7 linked regions of the Canis lupus familiaris genome follow. The protein of the gene in region 6 interacts with the protein of the main gene of each other region in a pairwise test. Links are inferred from orthologs where the notes say so. Each region holds a gene or a part of one and is shown on either strand. Other genes may lie near its edges. The genes, in order: APOD, ZBTB22, PGRMC2, CACNG1, ADGRG7, VAPA and mu-type opioid receptor.

Region 1 (4,054 bases), on a different chromosome or scaffold from region 6:
ACGAGCCCGCGGCAGCTGTCCCCACGGACGCCCTCCCTCTCCGGCTCTGTTTCGCCCGGAACAGTTCCAAGGCGCCGTCTCTGATCATAATAAACTCAGCATCGGTTCATGGAGAAAACGTGTCTGTGTGTTCAGGCGGAGCGGGTGACAGACGGGTCGGGTCGCGCTTCCTCAGGGTTACCCGCACCAACGCCGCGTGTCGCCCGGCCCAGGCTCCCCAAGGCCACGAAGGAGGGTCCCCGGTGGTCGCCGGCTTACGGGGGGACACAGGCCTCGTCGCCCTGACTCCCTGACCAGGGATGGGCCCAGCGTCAGGAAGCGGCCGATCCGGGCCGTGTCTGACCCTCGTCGCAGACCAGGACAACTCCTGGGGCGCAGCCTCGATGCGCCTGCACCCGGGCCCGGTCGCCGTGCCCGGGCTCTGAGATGAGCCGGTTTTCTCTCTCTCTAGGCCGCTAAGATGTGACTTCGCTTCCCGGATTCCTGCAGGGCCAGGGGCCACCCCCGGTCGGGCACAGGAAGCCTGGTGGGGACCAGGACGGCCGCAAAGCCTCCCGGAGCCGCAGGGCCTTCCAGGCTGCGCCGTGGCGGTTTCCTTGGAGCCGACACAGTTCCCAGATCCCGCAGGGGACAGGAGGGACGGCCCTGGTCCCAGCCCTCTCTCCCGGCGGCTGTTGTCTTCCACGTTCCCCTGCTCTCTGGGCTTGAACGTCGGCCTCGTTGCTTATAAGCGGTGCGGCCATCGGGCGAGTTCCCTTCCCTCCCTGTACCTCTGTTTCTTCATCTAGAAAAGTGGCCTTACTAAGAGTACCTGCCTCAGGGCCCGGAGGCGCATGCTCGTTTACATACACATCCACCCAGGTGCACGCGTGCACATACACGTACACTCACAGAATAGCGCCTTGCACGCAGGAAATGCTTAATATTTGCCACTATTGTTTACTGTTGCTCTTATCTTTTTTTTTTTAAGATTTTATTTATTTATTCATGAGAGACCCAGAGAGAGAGAGAGAGAGAGAGAGAGAGGCAGAGACCCAGGCAGAGGGAGAAGCAGGCTCCCTGCAGGGAGCCCTACTCGGGACTCGATCCCGGGACCCTGGGGTCACGCCCTGGGCTGAAGGCAGCTGCTTAACCACGGAGGCCCCAGGCATCCCTGCTCTTATCTTTGTTGATGGAAGGTAGGTAGGAGGTCTTCCTGGGGCATTTTTAAAGTTTATGTTTGCTTTCTAAAGTATGAATTTTTCTATCGAAATAGAACTCGGTTAGAAGCTCTCGGAAACAGAAAAGCATACTTCTAAAGGCTATCCTGTTCACGAACCCTAGAGTGTGGCTATGAATGTATTTGATTCTTGCTTAATGAGAACAGGCGTCTTCTAGTCGTCACGGCTGAATGAATTGCCATGAGCAACCAGTTCCTGGGAGGGTTCAAGCCGAGCTGGATGCCCTCTGTCAGTCGATGAGGTAGAAAGAGCTTCTCTCTTGGTTTGGAGATCAGATCAGATCAAAGTCTCACTTGCCCTTTGCTACCAGCGTGTCTGTTTTGCAAGGAGAGCAGGAACCCTGCAGTTTGGATTCCCGTTGAGTCCCCAGTACCTTTTACAGGGGCACACACACAACAGGCCCAGAATAAGTGTAAGTGCTCGCCGGGAACACACAATACAGTAAGTACACAATACAGTAAGATGCCCAGCAAGAGGTCTTGCAAATAAGCGAGTGGCCTCTAGTCCCCACCATCCTGCCTGCCAAAAGCCTTCATCTCAGGACCTGCTGCGAGTAGTCAGTGCAGACGCAGCCACGTCTGCCTCCCCGCTGAGCTAGGCCGCAAGGACACCCAGTCACCCGGGGACAGCTCTCTGCAGGCTGGCTCTGGGACCGTGTTGCTTTTGAAACCGCAGCCACTCACCTCAACTCCTGGTTTATCACTTTGATGTTTCCGTTTTCCATTAGCGAATAGTTGGCTTGGATGCAACTTCCCTTCTCAAAGCTCACTGGGATCTTCTCAATTTCGTACCATCGTCCAAGATACTGCAGAGATAACAATAAGCAGAGAAAACCCTGTGGCTCTCTGGGGACCTGCTAACTCTTCCCTATTGTCGTCTTTTAGAGCAGAGCCCTTTCCTGGGGAAACCACGCAAAATGGGCTGCACTGTTCCCGACAGCAACTGAGCAAGATATTGATTCAAATGAGAGTAAGTGAGTCAGATTTGCAGGCATTGGTCGAATGCCACATTTTATTCCTAAAGTGACCTTTATTTAGATATGATGTCAGTGGGCCCTCCAGCCAGAATCTATGTGAAATTTTAGGCTCTGTAAAGGAGAGGGAGCGGTCCAGATGATGTAAGGTTCCATCTCAAATATTTTGTGATTCTACGAGGCATCTTTGAATTGTGTGCAAAGCCAGATATGGTCACTCTGGGGAACTGGGACTCCAGAGTTGGTTGATTCTCCTCATAAGACCCCGGACAGGGAGTTGGTCACAAAGGCTTTTAGCAAGTGATCAGGATTCAGAAGATTGATATTCTTTCACTGGGGACTTGGTCTCCGTTCATAGCTTCGTGTACAGAGTCAACATTAAAGGAAGTGTGCAATGGTGTGGGTGACGGTAAGGAGAGACAAGTACTTTCATGCTTCCATGCACTGCCTTGCATGGAGACTGCTCCAATTTACAACCTGCATGGGGGGCAATCTGACAATATCTAGCAAAGAAAATACATCTAGTGCATTTATGAGGTTATTTGATGCAGTGCTATTTGTAAGAACAAAAGACAGGAAATTAGAGTCTAAGTGAGCATTCGTAGGGGACTGGGTACATAAATGTGTATGGCACAACCAAACAACCGAATGTTATATAGCCTCCTTTAAAGGAGTCATGCAACTATATCCAAGATGCATTCAATGGAAAAAAAGAGCTGGGTAAAAAATAAGAGTATATGGAAAATGGGGGGAAAGGTTATTATGTTCATTTTCTATTGCTGCTATAACAAATTCCACAAGCTTACAACACAAATTTATGGTCTCATGGGTGTGTACATCAAGTGAGCTTGATTAAAATCAAGGTGTTGGCAGGACTGTGTTCCTTTCTAGGGGGTTTAGGGGACTCTGTCTTCTTGCCCTGTCCACATTTTATTTTATTTTATTTTATTTTATTAATTTTTATTTATTTATGATAGTCACAGAGAGAGAGAGAGGCAGAGACACAGGCAGAGGGAGAAGCAGGCTCCATGCACCGGGAGCCCGACGTGGGATTCGATCCCGGGTCTCCAGGATCGCGCTCTGGGCCAAAGGCAGGCGCCAAACCGCTGCGCCACCCAGGGATCCCCCTGTCCACATTTTAGAGGCCACCCACATTCTTTGGCTGGTTGAACCCCTTCCTCCATCTTCAGAGCCAGCAAAAGTGGGTGAAATCCTTCTCACATTGTATCTCTCTTTCTCTTGTTCCATCATCACACCTCTCTGACCACAGCTGGGGAAAGTTCTCTGCTTTCAATAATTAGACTGAGCCCACTGGGTAATCCACGCTCTCTGGCCATCTCCAAGTCTATAACTTTATTCACATCAGCAAAATCCTCCTTTTCGTGGAAAGTAGCATATTCGCAGGTTCCAGGGATCAGGGTGTGGACATCATTCTGCCTACTGCACTTATGTATGTATTTGTGTACGTATACACTATCTCCCAAATGATACACAATAAACTGTTTTTAACTGGTTGCTCCTAGGGAGGGAACCAGGGGTAGGTTCAATGACAAAGAACTTGTCATTGAATGTTCTTTGGCACCTTTAGAATTTGGACCCATGTGAATATATTTACTTAGTCAATATATTAATTGGAAGCATTTTAGAAACTTAAAAATCTATTACTTGGGGATCCCTGGGTGGCTCAGCGGTTCGGTGCCTGCCTTTGGCCCAGGGCACGATCCTGGAGTCCCGGGATCGAGTCCCACATCGGGCTCCCGGCATGGAGCCTGTTTCTCCCTCTGCCTGTGTCTCTGCCTCTCTCTCTCTATCTGTGTCTATCATAAATAAATAAATCTTTAAAAAAAAAAATCTATTACTC
Region 2 (4,663 bases), on a different chromosome or scaffold from region 6:
CTACCCCTTCCCCTGAGGAGAGGGACATTTCCTCTTCCAGGAAGCAGTCAGAGGAACCTCTCACCACTGTCTTGGAGAATGGAGCAGCCATGGTCACCTCCACTTCCTTCAATGGAGGGGTGTCTCCTCACACCTGGGGAGATTCCTGTCCCCCCTGCAAGAAGTCTCGGAAGGAGAAGGAAACTGGAGCAGAGCCATTAGGAAACAGGTAACAACAACAAGGAGGAAGAATAGGGAGGCCAAGGAGACATTACAGGGGGCTTTCTGAGAGGAATATTGAGGAACTGGGTCTGCTGGGAGAAACTGGACACTCCCCCTCTAGCCTCAGGCTCTCCATACCTCCCTACATATTTGCATTTCTGTCCCTAGCTATGTGGAAAGGCAAAGGTCAGTGCATGAAAAGAATGGAAGGAAGATACCTACTCTGCCCAGCCCACCTTCTCCCTTGACTTCCATGGCCCCAGTTGCGGATTCCTCAACGAGGGTGGATTCTCCTAGCCATGGCCTGGTGACCAGCTCCCTCTGTAGCGCATCTCAAGCCCGGTTGTCCCAAACCCCTCATTCACAGCCCTCCAGACCTGGTACCTACAAGGTAAGAGGGGGAGGCAGTTTTTCCCTGACTTAATTCTCTTTCATTGTCTGTTCAGTTTCAGGATTTTCATCTGAATATTGCACACACCACATCCTCTCTCTTCCTTTTTTTCTCACCCCAATTTTTAATCTCGGATAAGTCCTTTCCTCTGCTCCTCCTCTCCGTATATTCCGGACGCTGCTTTCTGACTCTGTCTCTCACTCCCCTGCAGATGAGTGTGGCCACACAGTGCGATCCAGAGGAGATCATCGTGCTCTCAGACTCTGATTAGCTGCCTCTCCTCCCACTCCCAGCCTCCAAAGTGTTTTGGGATAGTATTTGGAGGATGGTGGGAAGCTGATGACTGAGGAAGGGATTGACTGAGCTAATCCCCTTTTTGGTGGTGTTTCTTTAAAAAACAAAAACAAAAAACCAACAAAAACTTAAGTTTTACACAGAAACATTAATAAACAATAAAGTTCTTTTCTTATTGTATCCCTGTCTTTTTCCTTGTCCTTCTACGTTCACCGCTCGGCACCAGTCGTTCTCTGGCTCAGGGTTAACCTTGGTCCTGGGCTACCCCTTGGAGCTGTCCTTTGTAGCCTGTCTTTAGCTCGCCTCCCGGAGTTCCCTCGCCCTCAGACCTTCCCCTAGCCCTCGGCCAGGCACTTAAAAAAAAAAAAAAAATCAACTTGCTGCAGCCTCCCAAACTCGCTTTACTTTTCTCACTTCGAGCGGTAGGAGTAAAAAGGCCAATCAGGGGCCGACTCAAGGTTATTTTGGCCAATCCGTGCCCGGAGGAAGGGGGCGGGACTTCAGGGGGGACTGTCAGAAGCTGGGACAGCAGGGCGATTAGATCCCGCAAGCCCACTAAAGGCCACAGCTCAGGGGCGGGGCCTAAGCAGCGACGGCCGAGACCCTTCGCCAATGGGAAGGGCAGGCTTACAGAATTAAAGGGGAATGAGTGCTTCGGCCGAACCACCAAGTCCTGAGTTCTTCAGCGGCAGAAGAGGCCTGGTACCTTTAAGGTGGAATGAGGCGGCTGTTCTTTAAAGGAGAAGTGGACGAGTCGGCCGAGTATTGCCTAGTGGCACGGGCAGGGGTGCCCGCCTGTACCTTTAAAGTCGGAGGGGCGGGAGGCGGAGCGGAGGCGGAGGGCGGAGGGAGTCGGCGCAAGATGGCGGCGGGAGGGGCCCAGGCTGCGGCTCTGGCCGCCGAGTGAGGGGCGGGGGGGCCCGGGGGCGCGCGGCCCGGTAAGCGGGGACGCGCGGGGTTGGGGGCGCCTTCCGGGTGGGAGAGGAGGTCGAAGTAGCGCTTGGGGCGGAGCAGAGGGGGGCGGGGTCCAGCGTGGGCGGGGGTAGACAAGGGGCGGGGCCGAGAGGGCCACGGGGGTGGGTCTTGAAGAGGCGGGGCCGAAAGCCCACGGGGCGTGTCTTGAAGGGGCGGGGCTAGAGGTAAGCCGGGGGGCAAAGGGGGGCTTTGGCTCGCGAAAGAGCTGGGGGGCATAGATCCGGAGGGAGGGATGTTCTTAGTACAGGAACAGACTTGCCCCCTCCCAAGAAAAGGGTGCAAAACACCAGTAAGGTAGATTTGGGAAAGTCAGGCGCTCAGGCAAATGGGGAGTTCTGAGGAGAGGCGCCCCACTCCCCAAGAGTACCTTACTTCTCTTAATATCCAAGGAAGGAGCACTGCATTTGGAATCAGGACATCTGCGTTTGCTGGCACTGCCAGTTACTGGCTGTGTGATCTTGGATAATCTCGTAATCTGAGCCTCGGTTTGCTCATCTGTCAAATAGGGTTGAGAGGAATGCCTACTTTAGGGTGTTGTGGGGAACTACTCAGATAAAGGGTACGAACATGTTTTTAAACTGTAAAGTGAAGGGCTGTGTCATTATGGAATGTTATCCTTCTTCTTTCTTTTTCTTCCCAGAGACCCCCCCGGCCGCCCTTTTCCTTCCCTTGTTCCTGTGGCTGGGGGGGTAACCCCTCCCTCCACGCCATGGAGCCATCTCCTCTCTCTCCCAGTGGGGCAGCACTCCCCCTGCCTCTGTCACTGGCTCCGCCCCCACTGCCCCTGCCTGCAGCTGCAGTGGTGCACGTGTCCTTTCCTGAGGTAACCAGTGCCCTTCTGGAGTCCCTCAATCAGCAGCGGCTACAGGGCCAGCTCTGCGACGTGTCCATCCGTGTGCAGGGCCGAGAGTTCAGGGCTCATCGTGCTGTCCTGGCTGCCTCCTCCCCTTACTTCCACGACCAGGTTTTACTCAAGGGCATGACCTCCATCTCGCTGCCCAGCGTCATGGACCCAGGCGCCTTCGAGACTGTCCTGGCTTCGGCTTACACTGGCCGTCTCAGCATGGCTGCTGCTGACATTGTCAACTTTCTCACAGTGGGGTCGGTGCTCCAAATGTGGCACATCGTGGATAAGTGCACTGAACTCCTCCGCGAAGGCCGGGCCTCAGCCACTACCACCACCATCACCCCTGCTGCAGCCACCTCTGCCACTGTTCCTGGTGCTGGGGTCCCATCGGGGAGTGGGGCCACTGTGGTCCCTGCCACCGTGGGCTCCGTGCGCTCCCATGCCTCCAGCCGGGCCAGTGAGAATCAGTCCCCCAGCAGCAGCAACTACTTCAGCCCCCGAGAGTCCACTGATTTCTCATCTTCCTCCCAAGAGGCATTTCCAGCTTCTGCGGTGGGCAGCGGGGAGCGTCGAGGAGGTGGCCCTGTATTCCCAGCCCCTGTGGTTGGCAGTGGGGGGGCTACCTCTGGGAAGCTGCTGCTGGAGGCAGATGAGCTGTGCCATGACGGCGGGGACGAGAGGGGTCCTGTGGTTCCTGGGGCTGGGCTCCGGCGGCCCACCTACGCACCCCCCAGCATCATGCCACAGAAACACTGGGTATATGTGAAGCGGGGTGGAAATAGCCCAGCACCAGCACCCCTGGTTCCCCAAGACCCAGATCTGGAAGAGGATGAGGAGGAAGACCTGGTGTTGACCTGTGAGGATGATGAAGATGAAGAGCTGGGGGGTGGCTCCAGGGTTCCCGAGGCGGGAGGACGGGAGGCCACCCTAAGCATAAGTGATGTCCGCACCCTGACTGAGCCTCCGGACAAGGGAGAGGAGCAGGTCAATTTCTGTGAGTCTTCCAATGACTTTGGCTCCTATGACGGTGGGGGTCCTGGAGCAGGGCTTGATGATTCAGGGGGGCCAACCCCTTCCTCCTATGCCCCCTCCCACCCTCCAAGGCCCTTGCTTCCCCTGGACATGCAGGGCAACCAGATCCTGGTTTTCCCATCATCTTCGTCCTCCTCTTCCTCTTCCTCTTCCTCACAGGCTCCAGGCCAGCCACCAGGGAACCAGGCTGAACACGGGGCGGTGACCCTGGGGGGCACGTCGTCAGGGGCCCTGGGCATGCCTGGTGGTCCTGGGGGAACCCCCGGAGGGACAGGCAGTGGGGATGGGAATAAGATCTTTTTGTGCCACTGTGGGAAGGCGTTCTCACACAAGAGCATGCGTGATCGGCACGTGAACATGCACCTCAACCTGCGGCCCTTTGACTGCCCCGTGTGCAACAAAAAGTTTAAGATGAAGCACCACCTAACGGAGCACATGAAGACACACACAGGCCTCAAACCCTACGAGTGTGGTGTCTGCGCCAAGAAGTTCATGTGGCGAGACAGCTTCATGCGCCACCGGGGACACTGTGAGCGAAGGCACCGCCTGGTTGGGGGCGGGGGCGGGGGCGGGCCAGGACCCGGGGGGCCCACCGGGCCAACCTTGCCCCTCAAGAGAGAGTCCCCTGGAGCGGGCGGGGGCAGCGGTGACGAGGCAAGTGGGGCCACGCCCCAGTCCAGCCGCAGGGTCTGGTCCCCACCCAGCGTCCACAAGGTGGAGATGGGCTTTGGTGGAGGTGGAGGAACAAACTGAAGGGGCAGCTCTGGAGGTAGCTTTCCGGTTTGAGGAAACGGAGGCTGAGCCAGGCCGCCGTGGCCCTCAGGTGATCTCCCGCCTCACTTAATGTCTTCCTTATCTCTACAGACTTGTATATATTCTGGAGGGGGAACCATATTGCACCATTAGCCACTCCATTCCATTCC
Region 3 (4,538 bases), on a different chromosome or scaffold from region 6:
CCCATATTCATTGTTTCTTACATGACCACTTTCCTCACATGCTGGCCAAGTGCCTGAACTGTTACTAAATTTAATGCTGACAAATGTAGTTAATGCCAACTGTTTGCCAACATGTGTTTACTCCACTAAATTGTCAATATTTAATTTTTTAAGACCTGAACTTTAGAAATGACTAAAAAAACAGTATCTTCGACACAGAAAAAAACCCACAAAATAATTATTAATTCTAAAACCAACACTGTGAAATGTAGATATTGGCTAGGCATAGAATAAGGTTTTCTGCTTCTCAGCTCATTCTTTCAAGCTACTGAGATTGTCAGGCTAAGATCATTGCTTCTGAATTATTCTATTACGAAGTGCTCAGTTGACCTGAGGATGAAAATAAAAATGAAAACCCAAACTGAACTTATATCTATTTCATAGCCAGAAATTGGCTTCAAGACTTTTGGAAAAACTGTTACATCTTCTATTAATGTGAAATATCAACATATTCCAAGCCCATAGATGATCTGGCTCCTTTCAAGGCTCCTTTCAATAATATAACATTCCAAACATCTCTACTAGGTTGATCAATAAATACTTAGAAAATAGTAATTACCCTTTGGCTGTTCATCAGGACATGGGAATTAATGGAAGCCAACCTGAAACTGACTTCTCCCTTATTATCTGAGGAGCTTGCTCAATGCTTAAGCCACACAAAGGCTATCCACATCACATCTATGACTCTTAATTTTTAATTTCTATTGTATAACATTCGCCACTGGAGGCTGCTAAACTGTGAGTAGGACAGCCTTTCCTAGCTATTTGCAGATAGTGGCAAGGCATAATGCGCAAGGACTAATATGCTTCTTTGCACTAATACTTTGTTTGTTTCACTGTCAGTGTAGATAGGGGCTGCAAAAGCAAATCTTTTAGTTGGGCAAGCTCAATATTGAAAATCTAAACCTATACACAGTTTCCAATTACTGCATATACATTTTATTATCAATGAGAAAGAAACTTCAGGTACCAAATACTGTTCAAATCCTTGATTTAGAAAAATTAGCTATTTAAATAGGTATGTCCATTTAATTACTGTAGTTTGGCCCTATTCTCTTGTCCCATATACTTTCAAGTAAACAAAAAGTATTAACCCTTTCGGCTGAATTAAGTATGTAGACATCTGCTTTTCAATTTTAAACAACCAGAAGCATTATCTAAGACTTGGTTAAAGTGAATGCGGATCTATACACAAAAATACAAGCAACTAAAAATTAAATAGTCCAACACATAAAAATCTACAATTTATCTCTATTCCATTTAACAGCAAACCAAAGCACTTCCAAAATATATTCCAGCCACCAAGCGCTGAAATCAGAAGTTCGTATTTCTAAGTGCCAGTGAATCTCATGGACTAACAGATTACATCAAGAAGAAACCAATTTCTTTTTGGGACTTGTCAACCCCCTCGAATTTGAGGCTTGGATGTATTCTTTAGAATAACAGGTCACTCTAGGTCCCTAATTTTATTATGTATTTTTTTATTGTAGTCACTTTAAGTTTAGGATTAATTACTACATAACCAGGATGTACAATGTTGCTCAATTTTATCGTATACCAACAGGTTCCATGAGTCTGAACTGAAGTTTATTAGCATAATCTGAAATGTATGCTGTAACTACATTGCAAAGGAAGGGTTTCTAACCCAACTACCCTGCACACACGGTTCTCGGAAAGCAAAGTTCTAAAAATCTCTAACTTGCAAAACTGGTGCACTGGGGTATGGATTTATGTAGCTCTTTTAAGTTTTTGCTGCTCAGTGAAAACACAAGTCATTATCAACGTGGATTTGAATACTTGCCTTCCTACTATCAAAAAAAAAAAAAAAAAAAAGTAAAAAGAAACCAGGCAGGCCCGCCTGCTGGGTATTTGAGCTCCACCTCCAAAACTCAGGGAGACTATCCTTGCCAGTCTTTATTAAGATCTACATTCTGGTCTGTCCTCATCCTACATACAGTGTTAATCTTGGAAAGCATCTCCATACTAAAACTGGTTTGAAAAAAAAAGTCTGAGGTGTTGCTTATATGCTCAGACTTCACAAGCTAAACGGTGGGGGCTTGGAAGTACGTGTACCTAAACGTGGCCTTATGGGGAATAGTAGAGAAAAGGGAGATCAGTGACAAAACAGAGTAAAGAAAGGAAAGCTGTGAATTACCTGGCCTACAAACTTTGGGTCCCTACATTAGGCATCTCCCGTCCCTCCTGCCCCCACCCATCCCAGGAATCAGAAAGCTCAAGAAAGGTAGTGGGCTAGCGTGACGGGCGACAACTGGGAAGATTCTGAAAAAAAAAAAAAAAAAATCAGCAGAAGAAAAAGCTTCGTGGAGGAACGGGATGGGAGAAAGAGGAGAGCTGAGAGCCGGTTCCTGGGGCGACACTGAAACCTGCACTTGGGCCGGGGGGGTGACCTGCAGGCGCCCGGAGCTGGGGGTGTGTGTGGGGCGGGCCGTCCCAGGTGCAGGAGCCAAGCCGCAGGGGTCCAGACGTCGGGAAGGCTGGGCAAACTAACCCGGAGCCCAGGGGCCTCCCCGTCTCGCGGGGGGTGGGGGGGTCGCACAGGAGCTGCAGGAGGTCCTCCCCCTCCCCTTCCAACTCCTCCTCACCCGGGCCGTAGAACTTGCTGCCTTTGGTCACGTCGAAGACTTTCCCATTGACCGCGAGCAGGATGCGCGGGGTGCGGGAGCCGTCGTACTGTCGCAGCTGCTCCAAGCTGAAGTCCCGCTTCTTCATGCGAGGCAGCGAGGCAGCGGGGCTCTCCTCGCCCGCGCCGGCCCCGGTGCCCAGACCCCGCCGCCCCCAGCGCACCCACAGCCGGTAGGCCCCCAGCAGCACCAGCGCCACCAGCGCCACGTTCAGCAGCATCTCCCCGCCCCCCGTCAGAAGCGCCAACGCTGCTGCCGCCCAGCCGCCCCCTTCTGCTGCCGCTCCCACGCCGCTGGGGCTCTCGCTGCTGCCGTCGCTGCTGCTCTCGCTGCCACTCCCCAGGGTGCCTAGCTTCACGTCCCCATCACCCGCCGCCATCACTGCCCGCCAGCGCCTTCCTCCTCCTCCCCGCCCCCTGCCCTCCCCAACCCCACGGCCGACCCCGCCCCTCTGGGGGCCTCCCAGCCAATGACAGGAGGGGAGGGGGCGGGGCCAAGCCTGCTCTCCATTGGGTGTTGAAGGGGTAACGTTGTCTCGGATCGCTCCCTCCCCCCTCCCTTCTTCAGCAGGCCGCGCTCGCGTGCGACGCCCCGCCCACCTCGCCCCACACTTCCCTGCTTTCGCTCAGCGCCTCGGCTTGCAGAAGTACAAGACGGGGAGGGGCGGGCCTGAAGAAAAGATGCAGCGCCGGCCGCGCGCGCGCGCGCATAGGCGGGGGGACACTACAGCGCGTGCGCGGGTTCCGGAGCGCCACGCGCTCTCCTTTCCCCTGCGCCTCCTCCGGGGGGCCGGCCCCGCCCGGTTGGTTCCCTCCGCTCTACGCGCGTGCGCCCCGGAATCGCTTCCCTTCCCAGGCTTGGGTTCGCGTCCGCGCACTCCCGCCTCAGCGCGGCGGCTCGGCACGGGGACTTCACGTGCGCCGGGGCGGCCGCGGAGGCGGAGTCTCAGTCTCGTGGGGTCGCCTTTTCGGGGGCGCAGGTTGGCGGCTTGTGGGAGGCCGCGACCCAGTTTTCATTACTGGCGCAAACTGTTGAGGGGCGTCTCTTTTTTGTCCCCCCCCGGGCGCCGTCGCGCCTGTCTGGAAGCCAGGAGCGTGGGCGCGCAGACAGAGCTGCCGCCCGGAGGTGTTGGCGACGGGCTGGAGCCCTCCTGGCGCAGGAGGAGCGCACGGAGCCCGCGCCGGGGCCGCTGGGCGCCCGGAGCCCGCTTGCTGTCTGCGCCGGCACCGAGCCGCCACCGACGGTGGTCTTGGCCGAGGCCGCTCCCGCAGAATTCGCTTTCAGGTTTTACGCTGAAGGTGCTGTTCCTGAATGAATAGTCTGTGGCGGTAGGGAAGTGGATAGAATGAGGCGGTCCTTCTGTTCCCTCATTCAGCTTTAACTCACGATTTCTTTTTATCTCCTTAGGTCCTTCGTAGTCTTTTAGGCTCCCAAGTCCTTAAAAACAAAACAAAACAAAACACAAAAAACCTGGCGTAAATGTCTCACCTCTGAAGCCTTGTTCTGGGCCCCTTACCTCAGGCGCTCATCTCACTGGACTTGGGCTTTCCTGCCCTGGTCTGTTTTGGTGTTGGTGAGTTCCCACACAACCACCCCAAGAACGGCCAGTTGTGGACTACCGGTGTGCCGAAAGAATGAAGGTGTGTTAAGGGAGTAACACTTTGGGTCTAATCTTTTTTTTTTTTTTTTAAGATTTTATTTATTCTTGAGAGACCCAGAGAGAAGCAGACACACAGGCAGAGGGAGAAGCAGGCTCCATGCAGGGAGCCGGAGGTGGGACTCAATGCCGGGACTCCAGGATCACGCCCTGAGCAGAAGGCAGATGCTCAACCCTGAGCCACCCAGGTTCCCAGATGA
Region 4 (4,655 bases), on a different chromosome or scaffold from region 6:
AATAGTCACACTCACCTCACGGATTGGTATGAAGCTTAAAGGCAATGGTGTGGAGGGAAGCCTCGGTGGTTCAGTGGTTGAGGGGCTCCTTCAGCTCGGGTTGTGTTCCCGGGGTCCCAGGATGGAGTCCCACATCAGGCTTCCTGCAGGGAGCCTGCTTCTCCCTCTGCTTATGTCTCGGCCCCTCTCTCTGTGTCTCTCATGAATAAATAAAATCTTAAAAAAGGGGCGGGGGGGCAATGATGTGGAAAGGTTTACCACAACACGTGATATACAATAGATACACAAGATGCGCGGTTCCTATGATTATCGTTATTATTAACAGTCTGTGACTCCAAGGCTGGACGCCTGAGTGCTTCTCCGCCCACAGGCAGAGTATTTCTGTGAGCTGTGTCAGCCTGAGGCTGGGATTTTGAAGTCAAAACCCTGCCCAGCTCAGGGGTCTATTCTTGGCCACACACTAGCCTCTTGGATAGACCCTAGAAGAGGCAACTGGTCAATTGATAAAGAAGAGATGCAGAGGGGCGCCTGGGTGGCTCAGTCTGTTAAGCATCTTCCTTCGTCTCAGGTCATGATCTCAGGGTCCTGGGATCGAGTCCTACATCAGGCTCCCTGCGTGGAGCCTGCTTCTCCCTCTGCCTATGTCTCTGCTTCTCTCTTTGTGTCTCTCATGAATAAATAAAATCTTAAAAAGAAAGAGAGAGAGAGATGCAGAACCCAGGAGGGATCCAGGGGCTCGAGCCTGGGGTGGGGGACATACGGGCTCGCAGGACTCTCTGGGGGCCATCCCAAACTGTCCTCTGTCCTCTGCTGTGTCCACACACCATCAGCCTCTTCACAGTTCCCTGCCGACCAACCCACTTCTGTTGTTTTTAACTTAAATATATTTATTTTGTAAATGAAAACAGAACTGGCGAAACGTTAATAGAAGTAAAACTCAAACAGTAAAATAAAAACAGAACGACAGTCAGGTCCAGCTAGATTCCTTGTCCTCTCCAAGCTAGTCTTTGATTCGCAAGCATCAGAAAGGTTAGCTAAAGACTTCCTTTCCTTCTGGACCCAGTTGAAGGGGTGGGAGGAGAATTGAAAAGGAAAAAGCATTCCCACGCCAGGCACAGTGCTGGGTAATGCCAGGCCCAGGAACCACCAGGAATCTTCCCGCAGTTTAGGGTTGTGCTAGGACTTGAGGCTAAAGCCAGGGAGGTGGGCCCCTGGTGGTTCTGGTGGAGGAGCCCCAAGATGTCCCCACGCAGGCTCCTGCATTCCCCAGACCCCCAGGACAAGGACCCACTCACACCCCTTTGCACTGGTGACCGGCCTGCCCAGTGTGGGAGCTGGGCTGTGGTACCTGTGTCCCGCAGGGTCCCCTGCCGTCACCCAGCTGTATCGCCTCCTCCTGCAGCCCAGAGCAAGCACATTCCCACACATCTAGTATCCCTGTGGCCTATCCCTCACTGCCTCCAACTCAGGTATCCTGAGCTGCTAATCGTGGAGATCCCAAGTCACCATCTAGAGCCTTCTCTCCCTGCCCCTCCTTGAGGTATTTTAGGTCTCAGGAGGGAAAGAAAGTCCTGAAACCCGAGGAGAAGCTATCCTCGGTGACACGCCTGGGATGTGCATTAATAGAAGCCTCCCTCAGGCCCCTGACACGTCTGGGCAGCTGCTCAGCCCCGTCTGGTGTCCCTCAGCCCCGAGGCCAGCCCACTCTGGCTCAGCCGGACGCACTAAACTTAGCTTCCACCCCCAGCTCGATAATCACCGCCACCTCCCCAGCCTGGCTGCCACCTGCGCGGGACACACTGCCACCAGACTGTGCCCAGGGCACCCACTCCTCCGCCACCACCATGTCCCAGACCAAAGCGCCGAAGGTCCGCGCGACCCTCTTCTGCATCCTGGTGGGCATCGTGCTGGCCTTGGTGGCCGTGGTGACCGACCACTGGGCCGTGCTGAGCCCCGAGGTGAAGCACCACAATGCCACCTGCGAGGCGGCCCACTTCGGCCTCTGGCGGATTTGCACCAAGCGCATTGTCATGACTGACAGCAAGGACAAGACGTGCGGACCCATCACCCTGCCTGGGGGTAACGTACCCACCCTCTGACCCCATCCCTGCCTCCTGCCCTGCTTCCTGCCCCTGGAAAAGGTGCCGCTGGGAAAGAGGGCAGGTTTCCCTGCCTCAGAGCAGAGATCGTGCCCAGCCTCGGTGCCCAGGGAAGAGGATCCGAACGGCCTCTGTCCTACTGGCCAGGGCCGCTTGTAAAGCCAGGGCGCCTGTCCCTCTTTCTGTCCCGCAGAGGCTCCCGGCCTTCACCCTGAGCAGGGGGCTACCCACCTGGGCCTAACAGGCCTGAGGCCCTGGCCCCCGCAGTGGCCACCCTTCTGGGTGACCCCGCTTTCCTTTCTCCCTGCACAGACAGGTTCAGTGGCCCTAAGTCCTCAGGCTGCAGGGACATGTGCGGCTGGCACGGTCACTCCCCAGGGTCAGCCACCAGATTTGCACAGCATAGCGCAAAATGAAAACGCAGGGCTCTTTGTGAATATTTTTAAGGATTTCGAGATGGTAACAGTGACGCACGGAGCCGAGTGTGGGTCCCTTCTGTGTGCAGGGCCTTGGTTGACCGCAGAAGCCACACATCTGTAAAGCAGGGCCCGGTCGTAGACGAGCCTCCCGCCTTTTGTCAGAACTGTCACACCTGCACATCCTCTCTTAGCTCAGACCCCTCGGAGCTGGGATGCGTGTCCTCCTGCTCTGATTTCAGTGCGTTCCCCAATTTTCCTACCCTGTGACCGAACCGCACATCCGAGGTGAGCTCCTCGTGAAGGATCAGGGTGGTATTAGGGTGACCAGTCTATGCTACAAATGCGGAGCCCTCCACACTCATAGCGAACAGAGCACACGCTGGGGAAAGAGCCCTGCGTGGAGAACCAGAGGACTGGGCTCTGCGTGCATTGCCCACGACACTCCAATGACTCTGGGGTCCACCATGCCCATTGCGGCCTCTGCTTCCCCCTGTAAAATACAGTGTTCGGGCTCTGCAAAGCCCCTTTCAGCCTTTACAAATGGCACCGTAAGGTGACAGTGGGCCAAGGCGAGTACAGGGACCCACCTGCCTTGCAGAATTATTCCCTCTGTTATCAGACTGGGTGTTCCTTGAACCCAGTTCCTTGAACTTTCAAGGAAGTCAGGGCTAAGTCCCCAGAGATCTTGCAGTCTGTGCATGGGACAAAGGAGCCCAAACCCCATTCCTCTACTTCTCCTTTTCCTCCTCTTTTCCCTCCTGCTGGCTCTAGAAAACCCCTGCCTCGCTCATTCCCCCTGGACACACAGAAGACTCGTAAATACCCAGCTGTCTTAGAAACACTGCGTCCCCGGGCCGAGGGCTTTAACAGACGTGGACATGTGCTTGAAGGGTATCACGTAGCTCACATGTCCGCGCTCCTTCAGCCCCGGCCCAGCACAGCCGTAAACAGATGCATCATCCAGCCAATTCCCATGGGTGGGGCAGGGCAGGGGGAGGCAGATTCTCCACGGACCACGCATGGGAGTGCCCTGCCATGGTCCCGTCCACCTGTCCTCAGAGGCACCCACCTTTTAAAGTCTGCTGAGTTTATAGAGCAGATGAGCAAGGAGGCGAGGCAAGTCCATACAAGGAAGGGACAAACTAGCAAGAGGTTAGCTGCACAGGCCCGACAGGCATGGTTTGGTCCTGACCCTGACCAGAGTCTATCTCTACGCCTTCTTGCCCCGCTCCAGAGTGAATCATACCTCCCACGCTTGTGAGCCCAGCCCTACCCTTGACAAGCTTCTGAAGTATGTGCCAGCAATCTCCCCTCTCCTTTCTCTGCAGATGGACACCTTCCCCACCCACCTTTCCTGTGCTCTGTGGGGTTACTTTTTTCTAGAGGGAGGAAGAGAGTGCATACATGTTCTCTCGCTTATTATTAATAGCAGTAATAGGGACCGCAAACACAAATCTGCCAAATATTGTTTTCAGTGCCTCCCATCTTTTAACTTTGAATGACATCAGAAGAAATGGCAGGGTAAGAATCCCCCTAAATGTCTTCTCCATAAAGACAATGAGAACTCTAGCAAAACACGGTCAGAACAAACCTTTTCAGAACCCTGGACACTAACGAATCTTGCAGCAATCCAGTGAGTGCTTATTCAAGAAAAACAGGTGAATCTGAGTCAGAATGGTGAGTTTTGTGGTGCTTTAACTTGCTCTATTTCTGTTCCCCACTCCCCAAGTCTATTAGAGCCTTGAAAACCAATAGCCTGCAAACAGTGTAAATTTAGCCCCCAAAGGGGACAGATGGGGCTGGATCTCATTCAAAGCCTCATTCCCAGAGAACTGTCATTATTTGATCTGCCTGGTGGTTCCCTGGAAGTCCCCACTTGTAAGGTTGTCTTTATTTGACCTGATGCTGAGCTCACTCAGTGGAAACAGTCTTTTTCTCAGGGGGCATTTGGCAAAAACAATTAGAAGCAAATGTTTAATAGCATAATTTCCTGAGGCAGTAGACAACAGTTAGGGCAAACAATAGGCTACCAAAACAGCTAGAGAGTTAGATGTCCATAGGTGGCTTGGAAGAGCTCCAACAAGGATGCCTGGGTGGTTCAGTGGTTGAGCATCTGCCTTCGGCTCAGGGTGTGATC
Region 5 (4,054 bases), on a different chromosome or scaffold from region 6:
TCCAAAGCAAGTCTGAATATTGCCTACGTGAGATTTATATAGTATGTTAAAATGCTTATTCCTCAGCCTCACCCCTTACCTGGTCAATTGGAATCTATGGGGTAAGAGCTAGAAATCTTCACTTTAAATAGGGATTTTATTTTTATGTACACTAAAGTGCCTATATGTAAGGCTCCTTCTAGATTGAGTGATAGATTGATTTTTACAAAGATCTTATTTATTTATTCATGAGAGACACAGAGAGAGATACAGAGAGAGGCAGAGGGAGGAGCAAACTCCCTGCAGGGAGCCCAATGTGGGACTCGATCCCAGGACCCTGGGATTATGCCCTGAGTCAAAGGCAGACACTCAACCACTGAGCCACGCAGGTGTCCCATCCTTCTAGATTTAGAATGCTGTAATTCTGATAGACATTTACTAGGTGCTATAGATATTGTTTTAAAAGCACAATTTGATCTTTATGGTAGTGAGAATTGTTTGATCCATACATTTTATCTTTTTCAATAACATCTCTGGGATTTTAAGGAGTATAGAAATATTGGGATTCCACTCACACAGCTTCACAGGATGTTGTCTTCATGAGTTCTCCATGGTCTAGGTGTTTTCCTAATTCTGTACAACTAGAAATTTATCCAGTCTTTTAAGTATAGAATAGTGTACTCCCCACAAAGAGGACCAGATTTCTTATATCTTCAAAATAAATCTCTCTTGAACAATCAGGATGGCCAGTAACCACTTCTGCCCTTCCAAGACCTAAGTCCCTATGCATCCTTCCTTGTGTCATCATCAGATGGGTAAATACTGCCTCTTGGATAATGATCAAGTTAATCTTCCTGTTTTTGGTCAGAGAACTGGCCAAAGGAGAGTTTTATTAGTTAAATTCTCAGGGTCTTTGGGTTATCTTACCAGAGCATCAGAAGTCTCCTACAACAGTATTCCTAAGATATGCTTCTAGAAATAGATCCTTATAAGGCTTGGGCCCTAGAGATTCTAATCTGGAGAAATTTTTTTTAAGTAACTTTATTTCTAAAGAGTTTAAAACATGAAGTTGCAAAAATAGTAGAGTTCCCAGGTACTCTTTTCCCAGTTTTCTCCAATGCTAATATATTATAACCATAGTCCATCATCAAAATCAAGAAGTGAACATTGGCACAATACTATTACTCAACTAGTGATGTTATTTCCACAAAGGAGATAAATGAGAAATTTACAGGGGGACTCTTAGATGCTGTCATATACTTCATAATATCCTTCTATTGCAGTTACAAGCAAGAGACAGAGTAGTATATTGGCTAGAAGAGCTTTGGAATCAAATGGAGTTGAGTTCAACTCCAGACTCCACTTATTACCAGTTGAGTAATCTTAGGCGGGTTACTTAAATTATCTGAGCTATAGTTTTCCCACCTGTTACATGGGCTGCTAAGGCTTATTTTATAGGGTTGGTGTTAGGATTAAATGAGAAACATTAAATGATGAGGATTACATGAAAAGCACTGTCTGATACCAATAGGACTTCATTATGTGGTGGTTTTCATTTTAAAAGTGTATATGTATACAATGGAATATTACTCAGCCATTAGAAACGACAAATAGCCACCATTTGCTTCCACGTGGATGGACCTGGAGGGTATTATGCTGAGTGAAATAAGTCAATCGGAAAAGGACAAACATTATATGGTCTCATTCATTTGGGGAATATAAAAATTAGTGAAATGGAATAAAGGGAAAGGAGAGAAAATGAGTGAAAATATCAGTGAGGGTGACAAAACATGAGGGACACCTAACTCTGGGAAATGAACAAGGGGTATCGGAAGGGGAGGTGGGCAGGGGGTTGGGGTGACTGGGTGATGGGCACTGAGGGGGGCACTTGGTGGGATGAGCACTGGGTGTTATGCTATATGTTGGCAAATTGAACTCCCATAAAAATAATTAAAAAGTGTACAGAAAATAGTATTCAGTCTTTTGTAGATTAATTTCTCATGCACATCTGATTTTTGTACATAAAGGACAGAAAAGCAATGAATAGTAGTGCTTAAAATTGGTTTTGTTCTTAAACACTGCAGACTTTTACTTGTTGTGTAGTAACTTGTTGTGTTACTAAAATGCCAAGAAATGTACAATCATAGAATGTTAGAACTGGAAGGAGAATTAAGTGACCCATAGGCAATCTGTCTCCTTCAGGAATTGAAGTGAAGTAACTGCAGTCTACTAAAACATAAATATTTGGTCTTTGTCCTCAGTACACAGTTCCTAAAGTCTTTGGAATTGATTGTCTTGGAAGTGATGAGTATCTTTTGTATGTTAATGAATGACTGGAGGCTGGGGTCCCTAGATAGCTTCAGGCTGGAGGCTTGTTGCCAGAAAGACTAGACCTGGTTTAGAAGTTTGGAACTTTCAGCCTTACCTCCAGGAAGGGGAAAGGGGCACGAGACTGTGTCAATCACAAATGGCTAATGCTATTGGGTCCTAGAGTTGCGAATCCTGTATAATGGAACCTCCATAAAACCCCCTACATGAAGGGGTTTGGAGAACTTCCAGGTTGGTGAACATATTAAAGAGCTGGGAGGGTGGTACACCTGGATAAGGCATGGAAGTTCCATGCCCCTTCCCCTATATCTTGTTCTATGATCTCCTCCATTTGGCTCTTCCTGAGTTGTGTCCTTTGTAATAAACAGGTAATGGTAAGTAAAGATACTTCCTAAATTCTGTTAGTAGGTCTATTAAATGATCAAACCTGAAGCAGGGAGGTGGGTTTGAAACCCTTGACTTTGTAGTCAAGTCAGACAGAAGTATGGGTAATGTGGGGACCCAATGTTTGTCCCCAAACTTCACTAGCACCTGAAGTGAAGGCAATCACAGGACTGTTAACCTGTGGAATCTGAAACTAACTCTTGTTTGTTAGCGTCACAAATCAATTGGTATCACCCAGTTGGTATCAGGAAGAGAAAGAGCCTCTCAATCATACAGCCAACATGTGGTGAACTGGGACCTAAATTCGGGTCTTCTAAATCTACTGTTTCCATGTAGCACTTTATATGTGAGAGGAACGTCACCTGAACCCTCTGAGATGACAAAGTGCACAGCAGCTGCAGACGTAAACTCAGGTTGGGGAGTTGTTGTCCATGATGAGATGGGCGGGTGGCAAAGCAAAACAAATCTCTTCCCTGATTCTGTATCTTAACACTGATCTAGCATAAAACTTTTATTCTATCTGCCAGGGATTGCAAATTTTTATCCTGTACACTGTCAGAACAAAAATCTTCCAGAACAAAGCTTCCGAAGTGTTGAAGTCACTGTCGCTATCCACTGGGAGAGTGAAGCTGAAGCCATCAGTGACCACAATGAGGCTGCGTGTAAGGATGTATAACATGCTCAGGTCACTTCCAACCTTAAGTGAACGCTTTAGGCTGCTGGAGCCATCTGTCATCATGGAGGAAACGACACTCTCTGAAAGTGACCAAGCAAACCCAAGCATCTAGACAGTGAAACTACTGCCTTTGTGATCCTCTTTTTATACAATTCATGTTAAGTGTTGCTTATTCTGTTTCTTTCCTTTAATACTTGGTCCTCCCAGAGAGTCTCCTTCAATATATTTTGTTCAAGGCTAAGACTCAGGTAAAACTTGTTTATTATCATCAGGGATAATGGATTCGGTATTTTTTTCTGTCATTCAGTAGATTCTTACCTGAATGAGGTAAAGAATTCCACCCAGCATTCAGGATAATTCAAGATTATCATTGTTACTTATATCATAAATGTGACAAACTTTGGTAAAAGAAATTCTTTTACAATTTACCAAAGAGGGCATGGGGAGAAAATATTTACCTTCTGGAACAAAATGACTCCTAATGAACCCTGCAGTGAGTTGCTTATATATATATAATACTTTTGATCTGTGAATATTTTAATTTGTATTTGCTTATATTTTTATTTCTACTTAAGGATTTTGTGCCAGTTTAACCTCTGGAAAGGGATACTTTTTTTCTGTTCAAAAAAGAGCATGTTTTGTGACCAGAGGATTTAGCACTCTAAGAAATGGACAGTGAGACACAAA
Region 6 (3,339 bases):
TTGGCATTTCCTGAATGAGTGGGATTATTAGCAATCTAAATAAATCATATTTCAAGAGGTAACAGCAACAGATAAAATTTAAAGGGATTATTAAAATAACATTTACAAGACTCTGAACAATTCTTGAACTCTTATTAAAACCACAAAGAAAGAACAATTCTTTATTTATGAATTTCATAAAGGACTGAATGTGCAACTGACATCTGCTAGTGATGATCTGGTAATATACAATTTGTCCAGGAGCCGAACAGTTTGTTTTATTGTGTTTTCTAACCGTAAGAGATCATTAAAGGCAAAGCCTATATGACGCTGTACACAAAAAAAAAAAAAAAAAAAAAGTCACCGTGGGCCATACTACCAATGAAATGGTAGGTAAACAAATCTTTTTCTGGTCAAGAGAAAAAAAAAATAGCACTCTGCATGCTTTACTCTACAAGATGAACTTCCCTAGAAAGAACCCGATGAAAATGGCTGCAATTACGACAAGAAGGGAAGGAAGAGGACTGGCGACATTATCTCTGAAGGATGCAGCTGAGGTTGATCCAGGTTTATCCGAATGTGCTACCTTTCTGAGCCTTAAGCCTTCATCCTGAAAAAAATATATGCACAAAGAGGTTTTAAAAACAAATACGCATACAGTAAAACTGCCAAGCTACAGATCTATAGCCAGAAAGCAGATTAGTGTGCATGTGGCTGAGATGGGATCAAGGATTAACTGCTAACCAGCATTAAGACAACCTTCTAGGGTGATGGAAACATCCTAACACTGGAGTCTTGTAATGGTGGCATAACTCTGTAAATTTGCTAAAAATAACTGAATCGTACACTCACAGTGGGCATCTTAATGGAATATAAATGATTCCTCAATAATGTCGATTTTAAAAACTAGAGCTGAAAATTTACTCCTAAAAAATTGAAAAGCAGGTATAACTATATTTATACAACAGGAAAAAAAACTCCACTAAAATATGTTAATAAAAGTGCATGCACTTTTTCCATGGTGGCCCGCAGTATTTTTATACTGGTTACCAAAGACCACCACGAACAAAGCTGTGGTCTAACAGGTTTGACACACTGCAGCCAGGGCACCCACACAGCAGAGGCACTGGGAGTAGCTGGCCAAAGGAAAAGACAGGCATTTTATAGGATTTGCAGGAAGGGGGAATTTCAGGATAAAATTTAAATAGCAAGTGTTTCGTTAAGCTCAAAGCAGAAGGTATATGTGTAGAAGGGTCAGCACTGAGTCTTGATCGCAAAGGAAACACCAAAATCCTGCTTCCTCGGAAACGACAAACTACAGCAGCTATGGAATGTTATATACAGAACTCACCTACCCCCCTACCCCCCCCTACTGGAGGCATGCCCCTAGACTGGAAAGGATGGCTGGGCTTCTGTGTGTCAAAGTGACTCAGATCCTCTAGATAAGAAGGGCTGCTTGGTTCTTACTGGTATGATTCCACACAGCAAAGTTTTGGACAGTATGATTTTAGGGAACAAGGTTTCTCAGTAAGAAAGCAGTAATCACTCAAAATAGGAAGTTGTTAAGACACTTTACCAGCCACTGTGTGACCCTGGGAAAAATACGGATACCTGTTACCTAGGCAACTGGCTTTATCTGTGTCCATCATCCCAACCAGATGAATGACAGGGCAGACTGCTACTTCCTTACTTAGTGCAAGCTCATTTTTATTTTCTCACTTTGATTCCTCTAACATGCTCCGTAACACCAAATGAAAAAGTCCACCTCAGGTCATACTGTTTTATTTGCAATTACTACATTCTCTGAGGGTTTGTAGGGTTTTTTAGTCTTTGTTCATTAGTCCTACATGAAGAGAACACAGATTCTCAATCCCTTCAAGAACTTTAAAAAACCGGGATCCCTGGGTGGCTCAGCGGTTTAACGCCTGCCTTTGACCCAGGGCGTGATCCTGGAGTCCCAGGATCGAGTCCCACATCAGGCTCCCTGCATGGAGCCTGCTTCTCCCTCTGCCTGTGTCTCTGCCTCTCTCTCTCTCTGTCTGTGTCTCTCATGAATAAATAAAATAAAAAATTTAAAAAAAAAAAAAAAAGAACTTTAAAAAACCCTCCTAGTGATTCTGATTTACTAGGTCTGGGGAGGACCTGGTATTTTTTAAAAGCTCACTAGGAGACTGAGATGCACAGCCTGGCTTAAGAACCACAGGACTAGAGGAATAAAAAGAACATATTATGATGGGCCTTATGTATGAAATGTTATTAAAGGGCCTGAAACGGATTCTATAAGCCAGTGATCTTCAAGGTTCTTTTATCTTTTAAACAGCAGAACACTTTTGCAAATAACATCTCCTACAAACAGCCAATGAAGGGGAGAGACCAGCATCCAAATCTCACCTTCCTCCCTGTGCACTCTTCCCACCCCTGCCCTACTTATGTCATTCCTACCATTTCCACTTCTACTCTCCTCTTTGCCAAGAGACAAACTGGCTTTTTGAACAAAAAAAGTACGGAGCATGCTAAGGAGCACACCTTTCATCAAAGAATAGAACTATGCCATGGAAGTCATGACAGATAAAGTAAGAGTAACAACAACATCCTTAAAAATCTATGATGTGTGGATAGGTGTGAAATGAAACTAGTTTTTCCACTATCCTAAGAGGCGCTGGGGGCCCCTGAGGAGTACTGTGAAACAGAAAGAGACAATTATTTCAGCACAGATCAATCCAAGATACTGTGCCTCTGATTCACAGTATATACAGTTCCTATATACATTAACAGATGAAAGAATCAAATGTAAATTAAGTCACTTAATTTAGCTTATTTACTTATGTACATTTTTATATCATCTACTTTGATACAAAAAGTTCCAAAACCTAAAATGGCAATTTAAAGGTATTCACATCTTGAAATAAGGTACTTGTCAAAGGCAAATTATTAATACACTCTGCATATATTCAAATTAGTTCTCATTCACCCGTTCATCCATTTATTCATTCGAATATATGAATGACTACTATATGCATGTGCTATGAATGCAAAGATGAATGAACACAGGTCCTTGCTCCCAAAGAGCTAGCGCCCACTGGAGGGAGAAAAACCTTTAACAAACAGGTACAGTGAGATGACGAAGGTTTCATGGAAACAAAGGAGATAGCATTCCAAAACCATACTTCTTTGCTTCTGGGAGGAGAGATTCCTAGAAAAAGTTATACTGAAAAGATGACAAGAACCAAGTACCAAAAGAGAACCATGCATGCGTGAATGTGCTTTTAAGGGTAGGAATGTGATTTCAGGGTGATCCAATCAGAAGAAGGAATTCAAGCTAAAGTAAAAAAGAGATCACTGACAGAGAGGCATCTTCAG
Region 7 (4,689 bases), on a different chromosome or scaffold from region 6:
GGATAGAAAACTGTAACTTGACCATAAACTGCACTTGACCATTCAAAAATATTTGTTGAATTTTAAATAATAGCAGAAAGTGAGCATTTCACCTCAATAATTTAATAGATGTAGCATTATACTTATCTTTTAAACAGAGGCAATAGTATCTCTGAACTATCATTTTGTAGTGAAAACATCACAGCTTGGAGTCCAGTTAAATATTCTAAGCTAAATAAACATATATTCTCAATCTCCAAATGCTTTCTTCGTCACTTTATTGTTCACTAAACTGTTCATTTTTCTGTGTCACTGTCATATTACCATAAGGTTACATAAGTATGGAATTATACACCAAATGTGCCATAGGTATATGTTTGGGTGACCTTTCAAATCATACTGCATTTTGTTAGAACTTTCAGTACAGAGAAGTAAAAGCATAATATCATGTTCCCACTAAGATGCAATGTCACTATCCTCCAAGTCATTAAGAGGTCAGAGGTAATGCCTTTAAAATAAACTCACCCAACCAGCAATCTCTTAAACACTGAAATAAGACCAATCTTTTTATTTCACAGCCAGTTGCTGCTTTATTGACTCTCTTTATAGAAAAGCATAAAACTAGGAGGGAGAAAAAACAAGGAAGGAAAATACCAAAAGAAGCAATAAAAAGGAATACAGGATTATGTTTCAGACAGCAGGATTTCTACACACTTTGGTAATTTCTCTTCATCATTTATTTTCCAGGATTTCAGACATAAATTTAGGGTACTTTATTATTTCCACATTATTACTTCTAATTAAATCTACTCTGTTATTATTTTAGTTGGACTAACTCAAATCATGATTTGCCACTCTAATAAAAAGAAAATTATACTGGCTAAGATAGATATTATATTGAACTAATACAGTTATTGAACTAATGACTATCCATCCTTGAAGAAATCATTAATATTTTCTGTGCCTCAGTTTACTCATCTGGTATAGGTAAACTCTAGGGTCCTTTCTAGCCCTATCAGCTTATGATTCTATGAATTTTCTTAGGACAAATGAGAAATATATTTTCTTCTCATAAGGTCACCCTTTAATTATGATTTTTATTGTCATAACTGTAAATATGTGAGACATGGTTTTTATCTTTGATATGAGTCTTTGTATTTCATTATACACGGTAAATGTTTTCAAAAATAAATTCTCCATTGATTTCCTTCCTACATTTTCCTTTCTGTTGTTAGCCTTCTTCTCAATAGATGGTGCTCTTTTCTCAGAGACACTACTTATCTTATTCCTCATCAAAAGATTAGAGAAATTAGTTTTATTCTTTAACAATTATTAATTAAGGAAATCAGACATATGAGAAATAATCGATTACAAGCAGCTTGCAGCACCGTGGTCAGGAAAGCATAAGGGGAAAAATGATTGTTAAATGATTAAGGAACTCCATTACAACCTGCAGTACTTGCTGAATAGATGAAGTGAATATTGTAACTAAATATGAAAATACTATGTTCACTACATACATATAATCTGTAGTAGGAAGAAGACCCCAAATTAGAAACCATTTTAAAGTGTTAAAATATTTTTCTACTTTAACAAAAATGAATATATAGTATTCCATATTAGAAGTAGGATTTGAATATGCACACCAACACTAACACAATCTACATTAATCTCAATTAATATTGAAAGCTTGCACATTCTTTGCCAAATAAACCTGGAGTATCTAGGTAGAAAGAAAATGAGCCACAAACTCTTTTCAAAAAATTTCACTGATTAAGACACTTTTTTCCCTTCAGAGAAACCACTGTAAGTTCCTAAAGATAGTTATAATCCAGAATTATGATGTTTAAGGTCACTTCTAGTTGGTTCCCACTTTCAGAGGATTTGGAAAACAGTCATGCCCTACAGATCTCCTGAACCACACTAATCTATTCTCAATTCAGTTTGTGACTCCCCTAGCAGATCTGCAGCTGCCAACTGCCAAATGGTCTAGGCAACACAACAGTCATATTTGTTCCTGCAAAGCAACACTGTTTACCACAGAAAACTTTCTCAATGAGTGTGGCCTCAGGATGGAAGGAACAGTGGGGCAAGGACAAGTGTGACAAGGGAATGGAGGGGGGTGCTGTGGTGCAGCAAAGTACCTGGAAGCCAGCAGGGATAGGGAAGTTGCATGTTCAAGTTCAACTTCAGACATGAAAAGGAGATTTCCCTTCATCAGGAAAACTAACTAGAATTTCTCTTCCATCATTCACAAATTATTGTTTCCACAGCTCCTGTGGAAGGGACTGTAGGATTCTGAGTCCAAGAACCCTCTTGGCTCAGTGAAAGTGAGCTCTAAGACAGAACATCCCCCCACCCCCCGCAGAGCTTTACATCTTCCACTAAAGCAACTTATCTGTTTCTGAAATTTTTGGTTCTTTAACAATGGAGGGAAAAATAGAAAAGTAGATTTTTGCACTCACAACAACCACTCTACCTACCGTCGCCCCCATATTCTCCCCTGTTTACCTCCCTTCTCTTATCCTCCCGCCAAACGCTGCCTGGGGGATCAGGTGTCCCTTTACGCCCCTATTAGCTGCTGAAGTCTCTGGTGGGAGCCCTGGCGCCTTCCTTACCTGACGATCACATACATGACCAGGAAGTTTCCGAAGAGACCCACCACGCACACGATGGAGTATAGGGCCATGATGGTGATGGCCGTGATCATGGAAGGGCTGCCGGTCGGAGGGCACGAGCTGTCGCTCCCGCCCAGCTCGGTGCGGTTCGGACCGCATGGGTCGGACAGGTTGCCATCTAGGTGGGAGAAGTTGACCCAGGAACCCGGGCTAGGTGCTGGGGAGCAACTTGAAGCGTGCGTATAGGGATCAGTGCAATTGCTGGCGTTGGTGGGGACGGAGCTGCTGTCCATGGTGCTGACGGCTGTCTGGGACTTCGCTACGAGGTGAACGCGAGCACCTAGACTTTTTCAGGTTCCACGCGTCTCGGCCGCCTCCTCTCGCCGCTGCCACAGTTCCTGCTATTTCTTACAGAGACCAGCCCTGGTGCAGCCAGAGAGGAGCGTCAGGTAGAAGGGGAGAGCTGGGCATCTGACATAATCTTCTGCTTGCAGCCCCCTTCCGCCTTAGTAGTAGAGATGCATCCTCAACCCCACACCGCTGTGGGGAGGGGAGGGAGGGCTGTGCGGGATCCGGAGGCTGAAGGGGAGGGAGGAGAGAGAAGGGGTGGATTTTGCGCAAAGCGATCCAACGAGTTGGTCTGTCTCCCAAAAGGCACTCGTCGGTGCAAGCATACCTAAGGAGCGGCAGAATGGGGAAGGGATGGGGGAGACAGAGAGTGAGTTCTTGGCAGCAGGAAAACATAAGAAAGGGGGCTGACGTCAGTCTGTTTTCCCAGCTCCGTTTTCTCTGTATAATACGAAAGGAAAGACATTGGCCTGGTACAACCCGGACAATCCTTACACCCCAGCGCGCCTCCAGCCCTCCAGTCTGCTGAAATCATTCGGGACAGGGTTCACAAACTCCTTTTCCTTAGTCCTCCTTAGCTCAGTCCTTCATGTCCACACAAAACTAACCGTGTTTTTTTACATCAGTAAATGAAAATTTTCAGACCTACAAAGCTTTTTAAAACAAACGTGGTCTTTTCTCTGAAAAAGAAGTGAGAAGCAAACTTTTGTCTAGGAAATCTATTCCTTTTACTCCATATGTCCCCAATTTCTCTTAAAGTAGAAGCTCTAGTTACACTGATTTCTACCCTGGTGGGGACAAGGCACAAGAACATGTTATAGAAATCAGAGGGTGGTGGCATCTGGGAAAGCAACGAAAGATATTGGTGATCCCCCACATCTTAGATCTCATAGATTCGTTTAGAATTATTTATTATCTCTTTTATTGCCAGAATTGCTACATGAACATGTGCTTCTCAGTGGGAGGTTGTCAAAATCAAACATTTGCATTATATCAGTCTGTTTTCCAGTGTAGAGATTCCAGGAGGAATTTCATAGACATCTGGAACTGGAGTGGCTGACAAAAGGTTGAGGAATATTGATACATTTTAAATTTGATACCTAACTTCCAAGACCCTAAATATTTCTATTTTAGAAATACATGTGTAAATCAACCAGGGGTAAGATATTTTTGTTATTATTTATTTGTTTGCTTTTTGGTAAATTAATACTAATCCTGAAGTAATTCCCATAACTGTATGTGTGTATTTGTGTTATGTATATATATTTTAAAGATTTTATTTATTTATTCACGAGAGAGACACACACACACAGAGGCAGAGACAGAGGCAGAGGGAGAAGCAGGCTTCATGCAGGGAGCCTGATGTGGGACTCTATCCCAGGTCTCCAGGATCACACCCCTGGCTGAAGGTGGTGCTAAACCGCTGAGCCACCAGGGCTGCCCGGTATATATTTTTTAGCAATAAAGATTGATATTAGATATACCCAGCTGGTTGTAGAAAGCAACACTCTTGGGGAACAGGGAGAGGAGTGGCTTAGGGAGCTTGAAAAAATGTTTAATTCCAATATTATCATTTTCTTGAAAACAGGTAACTCATAGGTAAACACCATTAAACTCCATAGGTTACTTTGCCAATATTTAATATTATTTTTATCCTTTTACACTAGAGGGTATAATTTCAGTGATAAAAGTTCATAGAGATCTCCTAAGGATGAGTAAAAAACATTTACCACATATGCTCATA

What was found.
Region 1: the proteins of VAPA (region 6) and APOD interact in binary tests that used the Homo sapiens proteins (3 or more experiments, as listed by UniProt). The two-hybrid records come from large-scale screens. The link is inferred for Canis lupus familiaris from reciprocal best matches to the Homo sapiens genes VAPA and APOD.
Region 2: the proteins of VAPA (region 6) and ZBTB22 interact in binary tests that used the Homo sapiens proteins (3 or more experiments, as listed by UniProt). The two-hybrid records come from large-scale screens. The link is inferred for Canis lupus familiaris from reciprocal best matches to the Homo sapiens genes VAPA and ZBTB22.
Region 3: the proteins of VAPA (region 6) and PGRMC2 interact in binary tests that used the Homo sapiens proteins (3 or more experiments, as listed by UniProt). The link is inferred for Canis lupus familiaris from reciprocal best matches to the Homo sapiens genes VAPA and PGRMC2.
Region 4: the proteins of VAPA (region 6) and CACNG1 interact in binary tests that used the Homo sapiens proteins (3 or more experiments, as listed by UniProt). The two-hybrid records come from large-scale screens. The link is inferred for Canis lupus familiaris from reciprocal best matches to the Homo sapiens genes VAPA and CACNG1.
Region 5: the proteins of VAPA (region 6) and ADGRG7 interact in binary tests that used the Homo sapiens proteins (3 or more experiments, as listed by UniProt). The two-hybrid records come from large-scale screens. The link is inferred for Canis lupus familiaris from reciprocal best matches to the Homo sapiens genes VAPA and ADGRG7.
Region 7: the proteins of VAPA (region 6) and mu-type opioid receptor interact in binary tests that used the Homo sapiens proteins (3 or more experiments, as listed by UniProt). The link is inferred for Canis lupus familiaris from reciprocal best matches to the Homo sapiens genes VAPA and OPRM1.

What each region holds. Positions count from the first base shown.
Region 1 is NC_049254.1:31,201,412-31,205,465, reverse strand, and holds part of APOD (apolipoprotein D), read right to left. Parts: intron 2,190-4,054; exon of another isoform or gene 2,105-2,189; intron 2,026-2,104; coding exon 1,904-2,025; intron 1-1,903. UniProt on the Homo sapiens protein: APOD occurs in the macromolecular complex with lecithin-cholesterol acyltransferase. It is probably involved in the transport and binding of bilin. Appears to be able to transport a variety of ligands in a number of different contexts.
Region 2 is NC_049233.1:2,907,205-2,911,867, reverse strand, and holds the start of ZBTB22 (zinc finger and BTB domain-containing protein 22), read left to right. Parts: upstream 1-1,387; 5' UTR 1,388-1,824; intron 1,825-2,501; 5' UTR 2,502-2,570; coding exon 2,571-4,493; 3' UTR 4,494-4,663. Other genes in the region: DAXX (death domain-associated protein 6), read left to right, coding at 1-208, 370-592, 804-863. UniProt on the Homo sapiens protein: May be involved in transcriptional regulation.
Region 3 is NC_049240.1:13,524,715-13,529,252, reverse strand, and holds the start of PGRMC2 (membrane-associated progesterone receptor component 2), read right to left. Parts: upstream 3,091-4,538; 5' UTR 3,061-3,090; coding exon 2,643-3,060; intron 1-2,642. UniProt on the Homo sapiens protein: Required for the maintenance of uterine histoarchitecture and normal female reproductive lifespan. May serve as a universal non-classical progesterone receptor in the uterus.
Region 4 is NC_049230.1:13,485,301-13,489,955, forward strand, and holds the start of CACNG1 (voltage-dependent calcium channel gamma-1 subunit), read left to right. Parts: upstream 1-1,678; 5' UTR 1,679-1,844; coding exon 1,845-2,079; intron 2,080-4,655. UniProt on the Homo sapiens protein: Regulatory subunit of the voltage-gated calcium channel that gives rise to L-type calcium currents in skeletal muscle. Regulates channel inactivation kinetics.
Region 5 is NC_049254.1:7,623,950-7,628,003, forward strand, and holds part of ADGRG7 (adhesion G-protein coupled receptor G7), read left to right. Parts: intron 1-3,218; coding exon 3,219-3,479; 3' UTR 3,480-4,054. UniProt on the Homo sapiens protein: Orphan receptor.
Region 6 is NC_049228.1:75,972,111-75,975,449, reverse strand, and holds part of VAPA (vesicle-associated membrane protein-associated protein A), read right to left. Parts: intron 590-3,339; coding exon 431-589; 3' UTR 1-430. UniProt on the Homo sapiens protein: Endoplasmic reticulum (ER)-anchored protein that mediates the formation of contact sites between the ER and endosomes via interaction with FFAT motif-containing proteins such as STARD3 or WDR44.
Region 7 is NC_049222.1:44,382,392-44,387,080, reverse strand, and holds the start of mu-type opioid receptor, read right to left. Parts: upstream 2,931-4,689; 5' UTR 2,891-2,930; coding exon 2,598-2,890; intron 1-2,597. UniProt on the Homo sapiens protein: Receptor for endogenous opioids such as beta-endorphin and endomorphin. Receptor for natural and synthetic opioids including morphine, heroin, DAMGO, fentanyl, etorphine, buprenorphin and methadone.